6 linked regions of the Canis lupus familiaris genome follow. The protein of the gene in region 1 interacts with the protein of each later gene in a pairwise test. Links are inferred from orthologs where the notes say so. Each region holds a gene or a part of one and is shown in the gene's direction. Other genes may lie near its edges.

The links.
Region 2: the proteins of EXOC5 (region 1) and TNPO2 interact in binary tests that used the Homo sapiens proteins (3 or more experiments, as listed by UniProt). The two-hybrid records come from large-scale screens. The link is inferred for Canis lupus familiaris from reciprocal best matches to the Homo sapiens genes EXOC5 and TNPO2.
Region 3: the proteins of EXOC5 (region 1) and DEUP1 interact in binary tests that used the Homo sapiens proteins (3 or more experiments, as listed by UniProt). The two-hybrid records come from large-scale screens. The link is inferred for Canis lupus familiaris from reciprocal best matches to the Homo sapiens genes EXOC5 and DEUP1.
Region 4: the proteins of EXOC5 (region 1) and RAB4A interact in binary tests that used the Homo sapiens proteins (3 or more experiments, as listed by UniProt). The two-hybrid records come from large-scale screens. The link is inferred for Canis lupus familiaris from reciprocal best matches to the Homo sapiens genes EXOC5 and RAB4A.
Region 5: the proteins of EXOC5 (region 1) and EDRF1 interact in binary tests that used the Homo sapiens proteins (3 or more experiments, as listed by UniProt). The two-hybrid records come from large-scale screens. The link is inferred for Canis lupus familiaris from reciprocal best matches to the Homo sapiens genes EXOC5 and EDRF1.
Region 6: the proteins of EXOC5 (region 1) and RAB14 interact in binary tests that used the Homo sapiens proteins (3 or more experiments, as listed by UniProt). The two-hybrid records come from large-scale screens. The link is inferred for Canis lupus familiaris from reciprocal best matches to the Homo sapiens genes EXOC5 and RAB14.

What each region holds. Positions count from the first base shown.
Region 1 is NC_049229.1:33,112,153-33,115,652, reverse strand, and holds part of EXOC5 (exocyst complex component 5), read left to right. Parts: intron 1-290; coding exon 291-500; intron 501-2,265; coding exon 2,266-2,413; intron 2,414-3,500. UniProt on the Homo sapiens protein: Component of the exocyst complex involved in the docking of exocytic vesicles with fusion sites on the plasma membrane.
Region 2 is NC_049241.1:49,816,342-49,819,794, forward strand, and holds part of TNPO2 (transportin-2), read left to right. Parts: coding exon 1-38; intron 39-94; exon of another isoform or gene 95-164; intron 165-252; coding exon 253-424; intron 425-902; coding exon 903-989; intron 990-1,068; coding exon 1,069-1,176; intron 1,177-1,284; coding exon 1,285-1,443; intron 1,444-2,059; coding exon 2,060-2,147; intron 2,148-2,334; coding exon 2,335-2,433; intron 2,434-3,041; coding exon 3,042-3,137; intron 3,138-3,380; coding exon 3,381-3,453. UniProt on the Homo sapiens protein: Probably functions in nuclear protein import as nuclear transport receptor. Serves as receptor for nuclear localization signals (NLS) in cargo substrates.
Region 3 is NC_049242.1:7,409,803-7,413,834, reverse strand, and holds the start of DEUP1 (deuterosome assembly protein 1), read left to right. Parts: upstream 1-1,232; 5' UTR 1,233-1,536; intron 1,537-2,050; 5' UTR 2,051-2,092; coding exon 2,093-2,121; intron 2,122-4,032. UniProt on the Homo sapiens protein: Key structural component of the deuterosome, a structure that promotes de novo centriole amplification in multiciliated cells.
Region 4 is NC_049225.1:10,334,192-10,337,691, reverse strand, and holds part of RAB4A (ras-related protein Rab-4A), read left to right. Parts: exon of another isoform or gene 1-108; intron 109-826; coding exon 827-941; intron 942-3,500. UniProt on the Homo sapiens protein: The small GTPases Rab are key regulators of intracellular membrane trafficking, from the formation of transport vesicles to their fusion with membranes.
Region 5 is NC_049249.1:35,257,724-35,261,223, forward strand, and holds part of EDRF1 (erythroid differentiation-related factor 1), read left to right. Parts: intron 1-1,084; coding exon 1,085-1,151; intron 1,152-2,240; coding exon 2,241-2,366; intron 2,367-3,265; coding exon 3,266-3,390; intron 3,391-3,500. UniProt on the Homo sapiens protein: Transcription factor involved in erythroid differentiation. Involved in transcriptional activation of the globin gene.
Region 6 is NC_049232.1:74,592,241-74,596,396, reverse strand, and holds the start of RAB14 (ras-related protein Rab-14), read left to right. Parts: upstream 1-1,356; 5' UTR 1,357-1,441; intron 1,442-2,050; exon of another isoform or gene 2,051-2,343; intron 2,344-4,156.

The sequences.
Region 1 (3,500 bases):
TGCCACTGTTGCCATTTCTAGACTGGTTGGTTGCCTCAGTTTCCTCTCATAAATCATCCCTAGGAGATTATCCCTAGTCAGTTTTCTAAACCATAGTGTTTGTAATATCCAGTCTACTTTATACATAGATGTATGCAGCTGCTCTCTGTATCCTTAGTGCCTTTCTAAGGTTTAAGAAATGGTGTTTAATATAAGTTATTAAAATCACATTGTAAAAATATATATTACTTAGTATTGTTACTGTATCTAAAGTATACATTAATCTCTTTTTCCCCCTTTTCCATGAAAAGAACTACAAATCTTTCCAGCAAGTTGATGGAGTTTAACTTAGGTACTGATAAACAGACTTTCTTGTCTAAGCTTATCAAATCCATTTTCATTTCCTATTTGGAGAACTATATTGAGGTGGAGACTGGATATTTGAAAAGTAGAAGTGCTATGATCCTACAGCGCTATTATGACTCAAAAAACCATCAAAAGAGATCCATTGGCACAGGAGGGTGAGTATTTTTATTAAATGTTGTAGTTGGGGATCCCTGGGTGGTGCAGCGGTTCGGCGCCTGCCTTTGGCCCAGGGCGCGATCCTGGAGACCCAGGATCGAATCCCACATCGGGCTCCTGGTGCATGGAGTCTGCTTCTCCCTCTGCCTGTGTCTCTGCCTCTCTCTCTCTCTCTCTCTCTCTCTGTGACTATCATAAAAAAAAAAAAAAATTTTTGTAGTTAAAAGTAAAGATTTTAAGAACTGTATTATATTCGGACAAAATTGTCAAATGTTGACAGTCATTGGAATTCTCTGTGAAGAACTCAATTAGCCCAGCTTATTTACACCATTGATCAAATCCTGTCACTTGAAACACATGTTGGAATGACCTAACATACTGCGATTAGAATTTAAAGCAGAATACTAGAACTATAAAGAGTTCGTATAGTCTCTTTTTTTTTCCAGACTGAGTAAATTATTCCACATTATTAACTAGGAAGCATACATTTTTTGTCATTGCAAGTGGAAAATAGCAGTTTACAGTGTAGATATCCTGAGCTTTTTCATGATTTGACTTAAAATTATTTAATTAATTCCTTAAAATCTGTGATTATTCACATACTAAAAGAAAAGGATTTGCGGAAGAATTGGTAGCACCTGTTATCCATATCTCAGCTGCCTAGAACCATTTGATTCTAAGATGAAGCAGAACGATTTATGTGGAGCCATATGATTAGAGTCCAGAGTATACTCAAATAAATCTGTTTCTTGTTTCCCAGTTTGTCATATACTAAATAATAATCAGGGAGAGGTTATAATTAGGAATAAGAAATGCCATCTGAAAGGCAGCAGCAAGTAAGGGAAGAGAAAAACTAAAGAATAATCATGAGAATTAAAAAAATAATTTGGGATACCTGGCTAGCTCAGTCAGTGGAGCATGCAACTCTTAGTCTCAGAGTTGTAAGTTTGAACACCTTGAATGTAAAGATTATTTAAAAAAAAAAAGAAAAGAAAAGAAAAAAAAAAACCGCAGGATGCCTGGGTGACTTAGCGGTTGAGAGGTTGAGGGTCTGCCTTTGGCTCAGGGCATGGTCCCAGTCCTGGGATCGAGTCCCACATTGGTCTCTCTGCAAGGAGCCTGCCTCTGCCTCTGTGTATGCCTCTGCCTCTCTCTCTGTGTCTTTGATGAATAAATAAATTTAAAAATCTTTTTTAAAAATTAAAAAAAATAAAAACCTTAGAAAAGTTTAGAATAGTCTAGAGTTAGGTATTCTAGGAACAAAAGAAATCTAACCTAAAGATACCACCATATAATAAATATTCAAAGTAACTCAGTCATTAAGAATGCTAAATTATGTTTAATATATCTTGCTTAATAATGATAAGGAAATGTGAATATGCTCAAATAGTTAAATGTATTTAAAAAGCATTAAATTTTTAAAGTTTATTGCAAGCAGGACCGTTTAGTTATATTAATTTACTTGTAATAATCCACTTAATAAGGAAATAAAACAAGGAATTTTTGGCTGTTGAGTCAGAATTATAGAGTCATAATTATAAATTATTATTTTAAAGGTCATAACTCCAAATATACTCCTTTTTCAGACGAAAGTCTTCTGCTAAGAGATTGCTTTGCTTTTACAGGACTAAATTATTGGAATTAGAATGTTTGAGTTTGGCAATTAGTCCATTTTTCTTTGTTGATGTATACTAAATTGAAGAGTACTTAAAATTGAAATCTGTGTAAAATGTTCTCTTTTCATTTGTTGTTATGATGCATTAGTATTCAGGATTTGAAAGAGAGAATTAGACAACGTACCAACTTACCGCTGGGGCCAAGTATCGATACTCATGGAGAAACTTTCCTATCTCAAGAAGTGGTGGTTAATCTTTTACAAGAAACTAAACAGGCCTTTGAAAGATGTCATAGGGTAAGAGTAGTTATAAATTTATTTCATTTTTATGTAGTTGTGTATTTTAATTTTCGCCTTGTTATAATATAAATCTGCTCTCTGGACAGGAACAGCTAACCATTACATTTTTTGTAATTAGATGGAGTTTTTGTTTTGGAGAACAGAATTATTTTAAAATTATAAGTATATTTTAATATTATTTTATAAGTTGAATATTCCCAATTTTTCTTCTGTAAGTTATATTAAATCAAGATATAAAAGGGAGATTTAGAGCTATCTCATAAAGAAATAGAAATAATAGGGAAAGAAGGATGTTTTAAGAACCCAAATATCAAAGGAAAAGAATGAGAAGTTGACTCCAGTAAAATTTAGAATTTCTGTCCAACAAACACTTGAACAAAGTAAGGAGATAAGTCACAGCCTGCGAGAAGATATTTGTAACCAATATTACTAGCAGAAAATTATGTAAAACAAATAATAGTGGCAAATAATTGTATAGTACATACAACGTTCCAAAGCACTTTAGGTATACACCAACTCATATAATCATTGTAACAATCTTGAGAGGTTTTGATTCCATTTTACAGAGAAAAAACTGAGATACATACATCTTAAGCAGTGGAACTGAGAGTGGAGGCAGTCTTAATTTTTTTTGTATTGATATTATATATTTTATATTGATGGACAATAAATCCATATGAATTATACAAATAAACAATATAAATTATACATACAAATTATACATATAAATCAATAGAAAACAAAGACTAATAAATGTACATAGTAGGTTCTCATTAGATGTGGTAGCCAAGAGTGAGGGCTCTGGAGTCAGCCAGAGGTGGACCCAAAACCCAGCTCTTCTGTTTACTGTGGCCAATGACCTAATGTCTATAAAACTCAGATTCCTTACCTACAAAGAGGAGATAATATATGCAGGTTATTTTGGAATAAGTTATGAAAGGTTATTTTGATATACATAGACAAATACAGAAAATGTAAATTATTAATAAGATATCCAGTCTCACTAATAGGAAAATGAAACTTAAAATAGGGAAAATACTCAGTCTCATTCAGATTGCAAAAATTAAGAAGTCTGATAATACAC
Region 2 (3,453 bases), on another chromosome or scaffold:
CTGGATGGCAACAAGAGGGTGCAGGAAGCAGCCTGCAGGTGACTCTCGACCCCTGCCCCCACAGCCCCCACCCCTGCCCCCACTGGCTGCCTTCTGGGAAGTGATGACACTCATGACCCTTGACATCCTGCTGATTTCTGACGTATTCGTACTGGCTGATCCCAAGTGCATGTCCTCCCCGCACCCCTCAACCCCCCACCCCAGGGCCCAGCCCCACTTGTGACCACCCACTAAACCCCTTCCCCACTCCAGTGCCTTCGCCACCCTGGAGGAGGAGGCCTGCACAGAGCTAGTGCCCTACCTCAGCTATATCCTGGACACCCTTGTCTTTGCCTTCGGCAAGTACCAGCACAAGAACCTGCTCATCCTCTACGATGCCATCGGCACCTTGGCTGACTCTGTGGGCCACCACCTCAACCAGCCGGTGAGACCCCACAGCATCTCCCTCTCTTGATCCCCCTGCCCCTCTGCATCCAGTGACCTGGCGGCGACGCCGTGTCGCACGCCAGGGACATGGCCGTGACCTCAACAGGCAGACAGACAGACCTGGCCCCCGCCCTCGCCCTGCTCCCAGTCTAGCGGGGGAGACAAACAGTTATGAAACAGCGTGGTAAGTGCTGTGCTGGGGAAGCTCAGGGGCCTGCGGGAACCAGGAGTGCTGACCCCCAGGCTCTGAGGGGGTGGAGCAGGGTGGGGCGGGGCTAGGGACTGGTGAGAAGGGAATGGACCAGAAGGGCCTGGAGGTCCGGCTGGATGGCAAGGCCTTGTAGGGCCCCATGAGCCACCGAGATGCTCAGACCTCATCACTCAGGCAGTAGGCGCCTCTGTGTCATGGGGAGCCCTGCTGGTGCCAAGCTGCCACCCCCCACCCAGGGAGCCCCAACTTCTTGCTCCCTCTCTAGGAATACATCCAGAAGCTGATGCCTCCGCTGATCCAGAAGTGGAATGAGCTCAAGGATGAAGACAAGGACCTTTTCCCTCTGCTGGAGGTGGGTGGGCTCCAGGCCCTTTCCCAGAGCCCTGCCCCGTCCTTCCTGAGTTCACCTCTCCTGCCCTCCTCCCAACCAGTGCCTGTCATCGGTGGCCACTGCCCTGCAGAGCGGCTTCCTGCCCTACTGCGAGCCGGTCTACCAACGCTGTGTCACTCTGGTGCAGAAGACTCTGGCCCAGGCCATGGTGAGCATCCCACCACCAATACCCACCCCTGCTGCCCCGCTCCTCTGTAGCTGCCCGTAACCTGGGTCCCCTCGCCTTAACCTGCTTGCCTGCCCCATCTGTGCCCAGATGTACACCCAGCACCCTGAGCAGTATGAGGCCCCTGACAAGGACTTCATGATCGTGGCCCTGGACCTGCTCAGCGGCCTGGCTGAGGGCCTGGGCGGCCATGTGGAACAGCTGGTGGCCCGTAGCAACATCATGACGCTGCTCTTCCAGTGCATGCAGGTGGGTGGGCCCCTCGCAAGCTCTCTCGTTGCAGTGAAGACATAGCAGCCTGTGCAGATCACCCTGGGATGACTCAGGGCCCTGGTTGTGACTGAAGGAAATCAGGAGAAAGGGACCCATGGGGGGAGGAGGGGAGCCTATATTTATTTTAAAAAGTGATTCCAGTAAGATATGAATAAAGTCTCATTAAATGAGCTAACGACGTAGAAAATTAAACAGAGAAACAAGGGGCGCCTAGCTGGCTCGGTGGAGCATGGGACTCTTGATCTCAGGGTGGTGAGTTCTAACCCCATGCTGGGTATAGAGATTACTTAAAAAATGTGGGGGGGGGGATATGAAAGCATAAGCTCCTCCAACTTTACACACACCCATGCACCCAGTGTATCGGGATGGGCCGCAGTTAGGCCTGCTCCCTGCTGTGGTGGTACCCTGACCAAGGCCCTGTGGTTCACTGTGTCCCAGGTTTATAGATGGGCCCCATGACAGGAAGTGTGCCAGGGTCAGGCTGTGCTCTGGGGCCCGCACCCCTAGCTGCCCTGCCTGAGGGATTACTCAGGATCCCAGCTGGTTGGGGGGCGGGGAGCCTTGCCACACTGACCCTGCTCTGACCCCTCAGGACTCCATGCCAGAGGTTCGGCAGAGCTCCTTTGCCCTCCTGGGAGATCTCACCAAAGCCTGCTTCATCCATGTCAAGCCCTGTATCGGTATGGAACCGTCTTCTCCTCACCCCGCGACCCCAGCTCTGGCCTCAAATGATGGAAAAAGATGACTTTGGGAGGATAATGACCAAACTGGATTGTATTCGTACTGTCTGATGGGGTCTGCCCGGCCAGGTCCAGGAGCTCACCCTGGCTTGCCCTCCTGCTCAGCACTCCTTTTTCTCCCCACCAGCCGAGTTTATGCCCATCCTGGGCACCAACCTGAACCCTGAGTTCATCTCTGTGTGCAACAATGCCACCTGGGCCATCGGCGAGATCTGCATGCAGATGGGTGAGTGCCCTGCAAGCTGACAGGCCCTACACCCACCCACCCCCACCCCCACCCCCCCTCCTGTTCCTTCCTGGGGGCAAGACCCTGGCTGTGACTGACCGGTCCCCTTAAGAGAGCCCTGGTGCTGCTTGAGTATTGCAGCAGTTGGTGATGCAAAGAAGCCATTTCTGAGTACTTTCGCGGGGATGCTGCCAAATGCTTGGAAAAGGCATCTAGGATAGGGGTTTCTAAAGAGGCGGAATCAGGAGGCCTGTTCAGATTGGATTGTTCCTGACCTACTCCCCTCCCTGCCATGCACTTGGCTGAAAGGTCCGCTGGGATTGGTTGGGAGAATTTGGCCGCCTCCCTCCCCATCTACCCCCCCCCCCCCGGGCCCCATGGAATCTGGGTAATGTGGTCTAACCCTGCTGTTGAGCATGACTCCAAGGAAGCTTCTGGTGTCTGGAAGGTGTGGGCCTGTCCCTGGTTGGCCATGGGTCCAGAGCTGGGCACCAGCCGGAGAATGAGTTTTGTTCTCTCACTGGTTTCAGTTGGCCAGTGTCTGGGTGCAACTGGGGTCAGCATGGATGGTATGGGCCCTGCGGGGCTCTAACTAACTGGTCCCCCAGGGGCAGAGATGCAGCCCTACGTGCAGATGGTCCTCAACAACCTGGTGGAGATCATCAACCGGCCCAACACACCCAAGACGCTGCTGGAAAACACAGGTGGGCACCAGGCCTGAGCAGCTGCTGTCCCCTTACCTGGAATTGGGGTTCCCAGCTGGGAGGGGGGTGGTGAAGAGACCTCGGGAAAGAACAAGGGAAGGTGTCTGGGAAGAGCACCAGGGAAGCTGCTGGCCTCAGGGGAGTCCCTGGTAGGGCCTATTCCCTTGGGGCCCACGGGGCGGGGCTGGTGCCTCATGCCAGAGGCCCCGCCACGTACCGTCCCGGGGCCGCTCGGGGTTGCAGGTCGCCTGACGAGTCCCTCTGCCATTCCAGCCATCACCATCGGCCGCCTGGGCTATGTGTGCCCTCAGGAGGT
Region 3 (4,032 bases), on another chromosome or scaffold:
ATGGGGGAGAGGGAAGAGGGTCGGGGGGATTTAAGGAAGTTGGATGTCAGGGCGCCTCGCTGGCTCTCAGTAGAGCCCGCAACGTTTGATCTCTGGGTGGTGAGTTCGAGCCCCACAGCGGGCGTAGGAAAGACCCTTTAATAGAAAATAAAGAAAAGAAAAAAAGAAAGGAAAGGAAAGGAAGAAAAGAAAAAAGAAAGAAAAGGAAAGAAAAGACGAAAGGAAAGGAAAGGAAAGAAAAAAGAAAAAAGAAAAGAAGAAAAGAAAAGAAAGGAAAGAAGAAAGGAAGAAAAAGAAAGAAAGAAAGGAAAAAAGGAAAGGAAGAAAGAAGGAAAAGGAAAGGAAAGCGAAAAAAAACGGGAAAGGAAAGAGGAAAATGAAAGGAAGAAAAAGGAACGGAAAAAAAAAAAGGAGGCAGGGAAAAGGAGAGGAAGAGGAAAGGAAAGGGGAGAAAGGAGGGCGGGAGGAAGGGAAAGGAGCGGGGGGAGGGGGGAGGGGGAGGAGAGGAGAGGAGAGGAAAGGGGAAAGGAGGGGAGGGGAGGAAAAAGGAAAGGAAAGGAAAGGAAAGAAGGAGGAGAGGAAAGGAAAGGAAAAAGGAAGAAAAGGAAAGGAAAGGAAAGGAGAGGAGAGGAAAGGGGAAAGGAGAGGAGAGGAAAGGGGAAAGGAGGGGAGGGGAGGGGAGGGGAGGGGAGGGGAGGGGAGAGGAGAGGAGAGGAGAGGAAAGGAAAGGAAAGGAAAAGGAAAGGAACCGTGGCAGAGACCCCGTGCCCGCTCCCCTCCCCGCCCGCCCCGGGTGGTCCAGGGGCGAGGACCGAGGCAGCGGTGTCGGGAGGGCCTCGCCGAGCACCCAGCGGCGGGTCCCGGGGGCGCGACCCGAGCCCCGCACGGCCGCCGCCGCCAGCCCTGCCCCCGCCCCGGGCGGCCCCGAGTTCGGCCGCGTCCCCGTGGCAACCAGGGCGGCTCTGCGGGCGGGCGGCTCCGGGACCCGGAGGCCCTAACGGCCGGGGCGGGCGGGCGGGCGCTGGCGGCGGGAGCGCGGGGGGGGCCCTGGGCGCGGCGGCGGGGGGGGGCGGCTCGGGCCTCCCGGGGAGCGCGGCGCGGCGCAGGTGAGCCCCCGGCCTGGGCACGGGCTCGGCGCGGCCCGCGGGGGCGGGGGCGGGGGCGGGGGCGGGGGCGACCCGGGGCCGGGCGGGGACCTCGCTTCCCGGTGCCTCGTTGCGCTGGCGCCCAAGTGAGCGGTGGGGAACCGGCGCAGTGAGATTAGCCTCGGTGCGTCCGTCCGGCCGGGCTGTGGTTCCGACGCCGCGGTCCTCGCCTCGCTGCTCCCCGAGCCTCTGGTCCTCGGTCTGGGAGGGCCGGAGCCCGCAGTCTCCCTCCTCCTCCTCCCTCTCGGAGGCTGTTTCGTTGACTTTGATGTAGTGACTCGGGAGTTGAAGTTCTCTTCGATCCTTCCATGTCATTTTTTAATTAACACTTTGTGGCTGGGATAAACGTGTTCCTCCTTCCTCTTTCTTGAAGGCAGGTACCAACATCCAGGTAAGCAGGTGCCCACAGAGCCATCGCAGAATTGTAAGATTTATATTTTTATAAACACTCTTAGCCTGTCTGTCCTAAATCTCATAGTATATTCGTTCTAACAAAACCCGGGAAGGGCCAAAGAAGGAGTTGACTCAAATACAAGGCAAACTTTTAGCAGACAAGAAAGTTTGAGAACATTTAGCTGTAACTCCCCTACCATAGGAATTCGGTTTTACTTATCTCGTGTGATGAGCACTTTGCAAAGTACCTGGCACCAGGGTGTTGTTCAGGAAATAGTGAATGACTGCTCATTTCAGCCAATACCATGGATTTCGACTCATAGCTAAACCAGTGTCCTAAATGCGTGGGGGAATTTTTTTAAAAGGCCCTAATTTTCTACATTTTGTAGCACCAAAAGCTGCTACACTTGGAGAAGCTCACACTACATGGTTTGCTGAGAGCAGAATTTTCTTGTTTTATAGGTTAATAAGTGTAAGTGTTTTAATGATCTAGATCATTTTTCCCCTAATAGATTAAAAATCAAGAAACAAACCAGATACAGCAATTTCTTGACATGGAGAACCAAGCCCATAATACAATGGGGTAAGTGCTGATTGAAAATTTTCTGTTTATTAAGTGGGCCCTTAACTATCCCCAAAACTCCCAGATGATACACAAATTTTGAAATTGAGCATTAATATGAAGGATGTATCAATTACTTTTGGTGAGGAAGATGGGGGGAGATTCAAGTGATTCTAATTAAGAACCTATGATATGAATCTTTCCAATTTTGACTATGGGTCAGTACCCAAAAATCATTATTTTCCAACTTTTAGGGAGTTTTTTTTTTTTGGTGTTTTAGGATGGTGGGTGCCCATACAGGCCTCCTGTGCTCTTGAGAGGAGCTCCCCTCAGTTTGCTCCTTTCTTGCTACATTGAGCGTTCCAGTCATGCCTCTTACATTTGCCCTTAAGGCTGAATTCAACACTTAAACACAGCCTCAGAACAGATTTGGCTCCCACAGAATCTTAACTACAGAGAACAAATGGACGGTCACCAGGGGACGAGTGAGTGATGGAATGGGTGAAATGCGTGATGGAGATTAACGAGTACACTTATCATGATGAGCACTGGGAGATGTATAGAATTGTTGAATCACTATATTGTACACCTGAAACTAATATAACACTGTATGTTAACTCTACTGGAATTCAAATTTAATAACTTAATAAAGTTAAAAGAAAAAGATTTGGCTCCTCAAACAACAATAAGAACTGGATATGTTACCAAAGTCTTCACCATTTGTAAAAAAATTAAACTCCCTTTTACAAATATCTGTCCCTACCCCAACTGGGGTTAGGGGGCAGGTGAGGGGCAAGGGGTAGTGAGTAGGGACAGTGGGTAGGAGTGGTGCTGTAGTGCCTAATCTTGACTATGACTGATTTGCACTCATCAAACCACTCCAAGTGTCTCCCTTTCAGTTATTCTGCTCAGACCATGACTTTGACATCAGGCTAAAGGAAAGCATCATAAATTTGGGTAAGAATAAGGTTGGTTTTGTAAATCTTGCTGCATACTCCTCCTTACAATATCTCAGCTAGGTATTGTTCTCTGTACAACCAAGAAAATCGAGTGTATTATAGTCTAAGGTCTTGTGACAAAGAGACCCCCAAATGATGACCCCAGTGGTTTAAATAAGAGTGAAGTTTATTTCTGTTTCATGAACAAGTTTTAGGATAAGCAGACCAGGACTGGGAGGGCAGCTCCGCTGCCTCTACATGATTTTTGTGTCTGGATCCAAAGTGAAGGCTTCAGCTTTTACCACCGTGCTCCTGCCAGAGGGAAGGGGGAAGGGCAAGAGGAGAGAGAATTTGGTTCTTTTTTGGAGAATGTGCCCTAGAAATAGCAGGACTCACTTCTAGTCATTTCCTACCGGCCAAGAAAGAAGGTTTGGGACCTGTGCTCTCTAACTGAGCAGCTCTGTGGCCAGCTAAAGCCTAGGCAATAAAAGAAAGAAGAATGGATATTGGCAGACAGGTAGCAGCCTCTGCCATGTTTCTGAGCTCAGAAAGATAGAAAGAAAGAGAAATAAAGTGGCAGCTTGCCCCAGAATATACAGCTGGTTAGTGGAAAGGTAGGATTTGAATTCAGATACGTGTAACTCTAATCCCTGAAGCTTTGCTCCACTGGAAATGAGTGGTAGTGAGATGTGGGTGCAGAATCAGGTTGGGATCCAGGATTGAGCAGGTGTTAGGTCCCTAATATGATGGTAGCAGTAGGGTCTGAGATGCAGATTGAAGGTCTTGGCCTTAAGGTTTGGTACCAGGAACCCCTTCACTCCTGCGAATCTGAGGCTGCGGAGACTGCTGTTTGTCTTCATTCATTCTTTTGGGGGAAAAGTGTAGACTATTGAATGCATGACAAGCACAACACTAAGTCTCTTGGTTTATACAAAGATCATTAAGAAACAGATCTTAAAGAACTTAGAATTTAGTAGGGAGCCATAGAGCTTGT
Region 4 (3,500 bases), on another chromosome or scaffold:
TAAGGTTATAAAGTATAAGTCAGTCATGGGCTGTATAGCCATAATATTAGCTGCTAGCCCAGCTCTTCATCACCACAGAAGTGTTTTTTCACAGACAGCTCATCCCAGGTAGGTTTAGTGAGCTACTTACTTTGCCAGCCTCCCAGTACAGATAGTATTGACTTCTCCAGCAAATTCATTCAAAATTATTGCTACACAATACTAAAATTCATGGAAACTCAATAGCTATAATATGGATAGAGTTTTTGGTTTTTGTTTGGTTTGGTTTCATTTTATTTTATTTATCTTTTCCTCTTTTCCCCTTAATCTTTGGTGTCTATCAAGTTTCTTTTTGGGCCTACAGTGCTTTTCCTTCCCTTTTATTTCTCTTGAATATTTATCCATTCAAATATTAGAAACAATCACCACCTCATTCCTGACCAAGTTGCAAGTCTGTTACTGGGCATCCCTTCAGGATGGCACCCAGGTATTTTATGCAGCCCCCATATGTCAGTACTCTAACAGTGGTCAGGTAGATCTGGTTCTCATGTGCCATAGCCACTTCCAAGCTTAGGCTTTAAAATGAATGTTTAAAAAAAAATAAAAATAAAATGAATGGTTTGCTTCAGGGGTTTTGTGAAAGAGCCTTATTGTCTCTTTCAGAGTAGGAACTGTGTGTGTGTTCTGTTTAAAACAGTGAGTGCTTCTTATCAACTCACTATTGGAGAATGAAAGGCTACAGTAAATTACATTTCCATTGACTTTAACCCATGATTTTATTTGTTTAAGTCTGTAAGTGTTTTTTTAATGTTCTGAAATTAAATATCTTGTTCTTTTTCTTTTTCAGTCAAAGATGACTCAAATCATACAATAGGAGTGGAATTTGGTTCAAAGATAATAAATGTTGGTGGTAAATATGTAAAGTTACAGATATGGGATACAGCAGGCCAAGAACGATTCAGGTAGCTTTCTCTCTAATTTAATAAAAATATTTGAAAATTGGATTTGAAATAATCAATTATAGTCTCTTCATATATATAGTCTCCTCCTCCCCTGCACACATTTCAAAAACTTCACCTCTGGAAGCTTTAACACAAGCTAAAAGTCTCTTTGCAGCATTAGAAAAATGCATTAGAATCTCTTTTGAGTGAACACACCCTAATGTAGAGGCTAATTTATTCTTTGGGACTAGTGAGTACATTAGGAGGATGTGGCATTGCTTATTCTACAGAATACTTTTAGATTAAAATTAAGGCAAACAAATAGTAAAACCGTTTTTCTCTTTGATTTTTATTTTTATTTTTTTAAAGATTTATTCATTTATTCAGGGGGGTGGGACAGAGACACAGACAGAGGGAGAAGCAGGCTCCATGCAGGGAGCCTGACTTGGGACTCCATCCCAGGTCTCCAGGATCACACTCCAGGCTGTAGGCGGCGCTAAACCACTGCGCCACCGGGGCTGCCCTTCTCTGATTTTTAAAGGAGAATTTTTAAAATCTCTTTTGGGGTTTTCTTTTGTTTTATATTAACTAGAGCATGTTCTGATGGTTGATATACATTCCACCAGATACTCTCTCCTGCACAGTTTTATTATACTGCAGTCATAATCAATGTTTGGAGCGATGACCCCAGATCACTGCAGATGAGGTTACATGTTTAATAGACTGTAATTACTAAAGCAAGAAAATGGATTAATATTCTAGTTGTGTTTTTTGAACAAATACACAAAATCAAAAAAGAACAGATATTCACAGGTTTAAATTTTTTTTAAGAGAGTTTTTTTTTTTTTTAAGATTTTATTTATTTATTCATGAGAGACACAGAGAGAAAGAGAGAGGCAGAGACACAGGCAGAGGGAGAAGCAGGCTCCATGCAGGGAGCCCGACGTGGGACTCGATCCTGGGTCTCCAGGATCAGGCCCTGGGCTGAAGGCGGCGCTAAACCGCTGAGCCACCAGGGCTGCCCCACAGTTTTAAATTTTAGTTAAGTAAAACTCACTCTCACTTATAGCATTAAAATCAGGTATATATTATATTTGAAATGTTCAATAACTATTTGCTTTGAAAATTTTTAAATATGAAAACCACTCTGGAACCACTGATTGAACATTGTGGATTCAGTCCAGACTTAAATGTTTTCTAATCCTCCCTGAAATGATTATAAAACAACATAACTCACAAAGACCCAGAAAGGGAGACTCCATAATTACGATGAAGAGATTTCAGAGCTATGTTAGAGATAAGATGTGAATGGTGACTGCCTGAGTGCTGAGGGAGCTGCATCTTAAGTATCTGTGAAGGGGGAAGGCCAGTGAGCTGGAGGTCAGTTCTTCTGCATCCTGGAAGAGGTCAGGATGTGGAAGAATTAGGTTCTGCAGGAGGAAGGGTGAAGGTGTTTACATATGTGTGTGCACACACCCACGTTGTGAGAAGTTCAGTATCTGAGTTGAAACAGGGTCAAGACACAAAGTCCAAAGGCACAGCAGCAGAGGACAGGGATGAAGGAAGGACTGAAAAGAGGGACGTTAGTGCAAGTCTGTGACTCCTGACCCACCCCCACAACCCCACAACACACACACCCTGGTTGCTGGCAGCCAGGGGTATACATACTCTCAGGAGAAACAGTTTCTCTCTACGGAAAAATGAAGAGCTCCAGAGGAAAGGTCTAAATATACTAATGTATTAGCTTCCCCAGTAAAAGAGCCCAATCTCTGGAATTTTCTACCAAAGAAATGAGATCCCAGATATATTGGGCCCACCTTACACCAAATACAAATGAATGGGGGGAAATCTCACTTATTTATGTCATGTAAAATTTCAAGAGGACAAAGATGAAGTAAAGATGCAAAAAGATCCTAAGAAGGAAAACCAGTCACTTTGAAGGATAGAAAGAGGAATTGCATTTTACCATTCAATAGCAACTTCAGGAAGCTAGAAGATACTGAAGCCTTGCCTTTCTAACTCAGCATGAAAAGTTCCTTTCCAACCTTAAATACTCAACTTAGCCAAACTATCAATCAAATGTGAGAATAAAGTCAGAAAACCTTTAGATATTCTAGAATAGGGGAAACAAAGTTTATCTTTCACATATTCTTTCTTAGAAACTTCAGGAGGATATACTTCTTCAATATAAGGAGGTAAAGCCTGAAAGAGGACGATGCAGTCCAGCCAGATGGCCCCGGCTAGGGAGAAGAGAAAGGACAAGTGTCACAGGGTGGCCCTCAGGAGAGGGTGCAGCTGACAGGAGGAGGAGGAGATGGAGGGAGGGGCCTGGGAGGGTGTGAGCGAGCTAGATTCTTATCAAAGCAGGTAAGCAGAGAGCCCTGAAACTCAAAGAGTTTCATAAGCATTTTATAGAAATATGGAAGCATATACCAAAAAAATGAAACTAAGTTCCACGAAAGTAGGGATGTTTTTATTTTTTTGTTCTCCAAAGCCCAGAGTAGAATCTAGCACATAGATATTCAGCGTGTATTGTGTTAATAACTTCATTCAGGGGAAAAAATAAAATTCGAAGGCCTT
Region 5 (3,500 bases), on another chromosome or scaffold:
GAAAGAAACGTATGCTAACATTTATATTCTTGTAGAATATTTAATGTGCAGGATTCTTTTCTGTTTCCCCCTCCATGACTAAACCTAAAATATGTCGGCCTAAGCTAGCAAGAGCCATAAATATATTAATACCTAATGAGTTAGTAGTTTAGAAATTATCCTAATGCCTCTGAAGGTAAAAGTCCTATTTGCAAAATGTTGTTTATAGTATTACTTATACTAGCAAAAAGTTGGAAATAGTCCAGATATTTTCTTTTAGAAGAATGGCCTAATAAATTATATGTCAATGCAATTAAATATTATGAAGTGATTTAAATTTTTATATTTATATCGACTGTGTGCAGTGTGCCAAGTACTTCATACGTTTATCTCATTGAATTCTCGCAACAACCCTTTGAGTTAGGTTGTGTTAACTAATTTTCACATGGGAAAACTGAGGCTTGGTAAGGTTAAGTAACTTGCCTAGCCCACATGGTATAAATCAGAGCGTGCTTTGAAGTGAGGCGGTCCTAGGTAAGTGTTCTGATCCTCTGCCACTTACTAACTGAAAAATGGTGACATCAGCTGCTTTTCAGGCTTAGTGATTATAGACGTGCCTCACGTGGCACCTGACACAACATTTTTTTTCTTTTCTTCTTCTGGCTCAATTGGGGTCAGGTTCTCCCCCACCCCACCCCCAATCCTGAAAAAGTAGTATTGTGTATCACTAGCAACACAGCCCTAGAGACTAAATCCTGATAAATGTTTCCTATCTCATCACGTAAAAAGAATAATATCTTGAACTGTTTACTTTTGGAGATTTGGGGTGGGGATTTGTAACTTAAAAAGTCAATTGTTTTTTTTTTTTTTTGTTCTAGTGTTTCCTATTGCTTCTATTACTATATATTATCTAATCTGTGATTAAGTCTTTGTACCACTAAGAAGGAAAAACTACTTGATTCTAATGGTGATAGGCATATTGATTTCAGAGATGTAAGAATGTAGAAAATGGGTATCCTGGAAGTGATGGAACACTGTTTTCTCCTATAAACTCTGCTTGTATCACTATGAGCGTGACCTTTGTGGCCTTTGTTCCCTCCATTAGCTTTGGTATGGCATACGACTTTATTGATTCTGTGGGAAATGATGTGGACGTTGTCTCTGACTCTGAAGTAAGTGTCCTTGTTGGGAAATGTAATTGGGGTGTTTATGTTAGGGATTTATAACATGCTTTGTTGTATAGTCTTGAAAAATTACTGATGAAATAAGATTCAACCGTCTGATTATCAAATACCTTTTTTGTTAGTAAAGTAATGCCCTGCTACATCTTTCAAGAAGGAAGGAGTGATGCCCAAAACACTGGCAGTGGTGATGTTAATATTGATAGTTGTGTTTTAATGGTAGCAATTATAAATTATTGTAATGTTTGGGGTGATTTATATAATATTACCAGTTGAAAACAAGAAATGATACTTACAGCAAATCAGTTGCTCCTTAGTTGGTAATTTTATCCAATATGCTAAAAACTTAAGTCAGTGCAAAAGTGACCTATACACACTTAATTTTAGGAAATTCTATTGTGTTAAAATACATCTTTGACCTTCATTTGCATTAACACGGAATGGCTGGTAAAATGTAGGTGATCCTGATTTTATTTTTAAAATTTTTTTTAGGGCAGCCCGGGTGGCTTAGCAGTTTAGCGCCACTTTCAGCCTAGAGCGTTATCCTCGAGTCCTGGGATCGAGTCCCACATCGGGCTCCCTGCATGGAGCCTGCTTCTCCCTCTGTCTGTGTCTCTGCCCCTCTCTCTCTCTCTCTCTGTCTCTGTCTCTCTGTCTGTCTCTCGTGAGTAAATAAATAAAATCTTTTAAAAATAAATAAAATAAAAATTTTAAAGATTTTATTTATTTATTTGAGAGAGAGAAAGGGAGCCAGGGGCAGGGACGGGGGTGTAGGGCCTGGTGCAGAAGCAGACTCTCCACTGAGCAGGGAGCCTGATGCAGAGCCTGGGCCCTGGGACTCTGGGATCATGACCTGAGCCAAAGGCAGGTGCTTAACTGACTGAGCCACTTGGGTAATTCTGGTTTTAAAGTTTTGTTTTCCATGAGTTTGTATTTAGCTCTTTGTGTGAAATATAGTTTGTATAACCTTAGGGAAATAAAGTTTATTGTGCTTTAAAATTAAATGAAGTTAAAATTTGAAAGTGTTCAAGCTACCCTAAAAAGATCTTTTTAACTGTTTTTCCTTTTAATTTTTTAAAGAACATAAAAAAGCTCCTGAAGATTCCCTACAGCAAGTCCCATGTAAGCATGGCTGTACACCGCATAGGAAGGACTCTCTTACTCGATGAGTTAGATATTCAAGAACTCTTTATGAGATCATCTCAGGTAATGCTTTTTCTGGAAAAACAACTAGTAACCCACTTTTTTAACAACTTAAGGGCACTAGAAATATTGTTTCTAAGAAAGGCTGAAGCAGAAACACAGTTTAGCACTTTGGCAACTGAGAAATGAGACATTTCTTGGAATATAAAGAAGCCTTAATAGGAAATAGAAAAGAGTGAATGAGGAAGAAACTTATTTTATAACCAACAGCCAGGATTCTTGCAAGGAAGAGGATGAAACCAATGAAGAAAGTTGTGAAAAATCAGTAACTTAAGGGAATAGTTAAAATTTTTTAAAAATCCTTTGATGTCTCCATTGAAGAGATTCTCATGAAACAATTGCCAGGAAATGTGAAAATATTAGAGGTTATTTCTATGAATACATAGTTATTAGAATTAAGTGATTCACTAAAAGCAAAGCTTCTCAAACTGTATTTTGGTACATGACTCCCCACCCCCCATGTATTGATAGTGGATACTTTTTGTCAAGTGTAAAGGCAGTGTTGCAGTTTTTTGAGGCTTATTCCCTGTTTCTGTATGTATCCTTGGCACTGGTCAAGCTCTTGAAATGTGATAATGAGTAAATCACAGTCCTTGTTTGCTGGCAGCTTAAAGTCTTGGCATTGTAAACAATCACAGATAATATCAATATGGTATGCATATTAGGGTTTATTCCAGGTACTAAGGAATGTGTTAGACCACTTCTCAGCCTGGCTTGGGGAGAAGAGGAAGACAGATTTCCCAAAAGAGGTAATAGAGATTAAGTCTAGAAAGACAGTGTTTACATATGTGTTTATGAAATAGTATTTTTTAAAAAAAGAATATTTCCTGTAAAAGAGTAGAGGATAACCAATTGTTTTGATTACAGATTTGTTGTATTTATCATTTTCTTTTGTTACTCAGACGGGTGATTGGACGTGGCTGAAAGAGTTTTATCAAAGACTCATTGATCAGAAGTGGCAGAGGAAGAAAAAGAGCAAAGAGCACTGGTATCAGAAGGCTATTCTTTCCAAGTTTTTATATTACAGGTAGTTGGCTGCTTGTTTATTTTTTTTTATCTTAAGGAAAATGAAATTGTGATCTCAAATTTAATTCTTAAGCTAGTAAAAGTAATTTCAGTTTTGCAAGTATGGTATTA
Region 6 (4,156 bases), on another chromosome or scaffold:
CATCATCCTCATTTTGCAGAAAAGACTGCGGATCTGGGAAATCAAGGGACGTGCCCAGCCGTGGGTCATCAGTAAGTGGAAGATCAGGGATTCGCAGCCGGGTCTTTCTGAAAATGAGACATGTGTGAACTGCCATACGGTTTTCCAAGGAAGTGTCCCGTCGCCGAGGCAAAGCCAGCTTCTGAAAGCTCCTCCTGCCGAGAGCCTGAGCTTCCTTTGGGTAAACTGAGGCAGGGCCGTCACCTGAGCCACCGGAAGCACCGAGCCTGGGGCCCACGATGCTTTCGTGGGGACCCGCAGAAATGTCTTCAGTGCTTTGAAAGTCAGGAAGGAAAGATGAATTTCCAGGTTAAAGAAAGTGTCGTGCGGTGTGACATTAAAACATCCCTCTCCACGCCAACGTAGCTGTAAAACGCTAACAATAGGAACACAGAAGTACAGGAACAGGCGATCCCCGTAACCGTCTCCGCAGGCACAGGCGGGCGTTGGGGTCCCCCGAGGGCCGCCCGCCGCCGGCTGCGCAGGGCCTTCCGGGAGGGTGGCAGGCCGGAGGCGCCGGGGTGCTGGGGTGCTCGGGCCCCGCGTCCCAGGGCCCCTCGGAGGGCAGAGGCGACCCACAACGGGAAGCGCCACGTTCCGGCTGCTGGATCCCGGGCCCCCGGCTCGATCGACGCGAGCCTCAGTTTCGCCATCGGTACAATGGGGCCAAGAGCCTCCTGCGGCTGCGGGACGGGGACGCGTGCCCTCGGGCCCCGCTGCGGGCGGGCGCAGCAGACTGTGCCCGGCGTGGGGCGCGCGGCGCGGGCGTGTCCGGCAGGCGGGGGCGGGGGGGCGGGGGCCGGGGCCGGGGCCGGGGCGCCGGGAGCCGCAGGGTCCACCGAGCGCCGAGCCCGGCCCGCCCCGCCCCGGCCCGGCCCGCCCCCAGCAGGTGCCGCGCGCGCCTGCGCAGGAGCGCCCCTGGGAAGCGGGCGCCGGCCGCTGCGCCTGCGCACAAGCGCCGCCCTCCGCCCCTCCAGGCGCCGCCGCCCGCGGGGCGGGTCTCGGCGGCCGCGCGGCGAGTCCCGAGGGCCGCGGCGGGGAAGGGGCGTGGCCAGCAGGCCGGGCCGGCCGCCGTCTTCCGGGCCCCGCCGGCTGCGCGCGCAGCCTCCTCCCCCCGCTTCTTTTGTGGTCCGGCCCATTGCGAGGGTGACAGGAAACCCTGTGCAGGGAGCGCCGCCATCTTGGACCTGCCCGAGGAGATCCTGAGGGAGCCGCGGAGCCGTCGCCGCCGCCCCCGCCGCTGCCGCCGGCGCGCCTGCACCTCGTCGGCCAGCCCGCCGCCCCCGGGGCCCCGGCCGCCCGCCCGCCCGCCCGCCCGCCCGCGCCGCCCGCCGCGCCCGCTTCCTCGTCCTGACGCCCCCCGCCCGCCCGGAAAGCTGCCCAGCCACCAGCAACCCCCCAGGTGAGCCGGGCCTTCCGCAGCGTCCGTCGGGCCGCGGCCGCCTGGCGCGGGGGCGGGGGGCGGGGGCGGGGGCGCCGCGGGCGGGCCGGCCGGGGGGCGGGGGCGGCGGGGGCGCGGGCGAGGGCGCGGGCGAGGGCGTGTGCGGCCGGCCGCCGCCGCCCCCGCGAGCCCGGACGTGGAGCCCCGGCCCCGGCGCCGGCCCGCGTGGGCCCGGGCACAAAGGCGGCAGCTGGAGGCCTCGCCGGCGCGGCGGGGCTCGGTGTCCTTGTCGGCGGGGCCGCGGCGGAGGGCCGGGGCGGTGAGGGCCCTGAGGGCCGGGGAGGCTGAGGGCCGCGGCTGCTGAGGGCCGGGGCGGCCCGGACGGCGCCGAGCTTGGGTGGCGTCGGCCCGCCGTGAAGGCGACAAAAAGTTGTGGGTTTTGAGCGTTTCTGGGACTGGAGGGGAGACGGCGGAGCAGGGAGCCCGTCGCCGGTGGCCCTGGCTGCCGACTGCGCCGGCTCCGCTTGGCCCGGTCGGGCCCGGGCTGGGGGCTGCGAGGTCCGCGTCCCCGTCCCCGCCCCCGGCGCCCCCCGCCGCGAGCCCCCGCGCCCTCCGGCCTCGCCGCCTCACCTGCAGGGCGGGTGTAAGGTCAGTCGTTGCTTGCAGAGGAGGGAAGGCGGTCGCGGGAGGCCGCGGGAGGCTCCTCTAAAGCCGAACGGCCCCAGATTCTTGAGGCTCAAGCGACGTCTTTCAAGTCTCTGCTTCTGACGACCCAGCCCGGGCCCGTCCCGCCGCGAGCGTCTTTACGTAACCGCGGTAGGAGAGGGCTCCGCGGGAGCGGCCTCGGCCCAGGCAGGACGCCGGAGCCCGGGACGTCTGGTGCGGCCGAGACACGCCTGCGCGCGGACGGGCTGCGCCTCGGAACTTGAGGGCGTAGCTTCCAGCGTGTGCGGGGGGGTCCCGGGAGTGTCGGGGTCGCCCCCCCCCCCCCCGCCACGTTGCTTTGAGGACCGTTCCCTTCAGACATCACGTTTCATCAGTGAAACTTTGGCCGTTTCTGGCCCTCTTAGTGCTTGTAGTAAAGTAGGTGCGGGCCCCTGGCTGGTTCTTGCCCTTGAAGCACGGCTGCGGCGCCCAAGCACTTTCTTCCTAGGCTGCGGCCATGACGGCAGAACTGCCCTGCTCGTGGCACAGTAGAAACCCGGCTCTTTTTCTTGTATTAGTTGATGCAAAGATGTGACATTGACTGTCCTGCCAAGAGTGAGTTTTTTAAAGTGGAGGTCAGAATGGGTGGGCTCTTCTCCGAGGTTGCGTTACTGCTGAGACCGCGCATTCGGATTCCCCGAGCACAGCACCGGTCTACACTGTGTCCCCGGCACAGCCTGTTAGCGAGTCCGACCGCCGCTAAGTCTCCGGGAGGCGGGCGCGACGCTCCTCTTGGTCGCTCCTGCCTTGTCAAAGCCTCACGCAGACTCTGTGCTTCGCAGATGCTCAACAAGGATTTCCGTGTTGGGATCACAGTGCTTTTGGGCGCTCGGTCCAGTTCTGTGTCTATAACGAGATGTCTTACGTGTAGCAAAACCCCAAACCAAGCTTAGTAATGTTAATAATGAGGATCAGAATGTAAATCACCTGGAATCTTTGTGGGTTGTTTTTGTCCTGTGTTGTCTTGAATAAGTTATGTAAAAATTACATCGTAGCATCGTTCGTCCTAAGAAGTAGAATAAAATAGCCGTTTAATGGTTGTGAGAGGATTAGTCAGACGTAGTGCCTGAGTGAACACAGTAAAAGCCAAGGTATTAAAAAAGAAAAAATGCTGTCAATTTTCGGAGTGTGTTTTTTGAGGCCGATCATATGATTGACTTTCCCCATATTATTATGAATTTCCCCATATTATTGTAAATGTGTAAGTAATGTTGGAACTATTATGAATGGGAGTTGTTTTATTTTTGGAAAATATTTATTCTAGAGAGATTGAAGGCATGTGAGTAGGGCTGGGGCTGGGGCTGGGGCAGAGGGAGAGAAAATCTTCAAGCCGACTCCTGAGATGATGACCTGGGCCAAAGTCCAGAGTTGACCACTTAACTGAATGGGCCACCCAGGCGCTGCTTGTTTTTGTTGATTCTTGTTTGTTTTGTATTAGAATAGTTCTTTATCTACTTTGAATACTTTAGAATATCACCAGTGAATATAGCACATGCTTACACTGTTAATAGAGTTATATAAAGTTAATAATTTCTCCCTATCCTTTTTCTTCTCAGTCCACATACTCATTTTTCACAATTTGGTGTGTATCCTTCCATATTATCTGTATACAGGTTTGAGGGAGAGTGTGTGTATGTGTGTGTGTTTAAAAATGGGATATGCCACTGCATAAAATTCTATCAACTTTTTTTTTTCCACTTAAAAATCATGGATATATTTTTAAGTTTATTATCCATCTCTGAATGGTTTTTAAACTAGAAGCATGTTATTTCATGATACTTTAGTCATTTCCCTGTTGATAGAAGTATAGATTGTTTCCAGTTTTTTTGGTTTTGGGTTTTGTTTTGTTTGCTGTATAAGTACTGCATTAGATGCAGTTGGACCTATAACCTTATGGATTGAAGATCTTGTATCTGTAGGCTACTTCTTGGTCACAGTTGATTGGGATTATCTTTAAGATTTTAAAATATATTGTTTACTTCCCAAAAAAATGTGGCAATTCAGACTCTTGTAAGCAGAGTGTATGAAAGG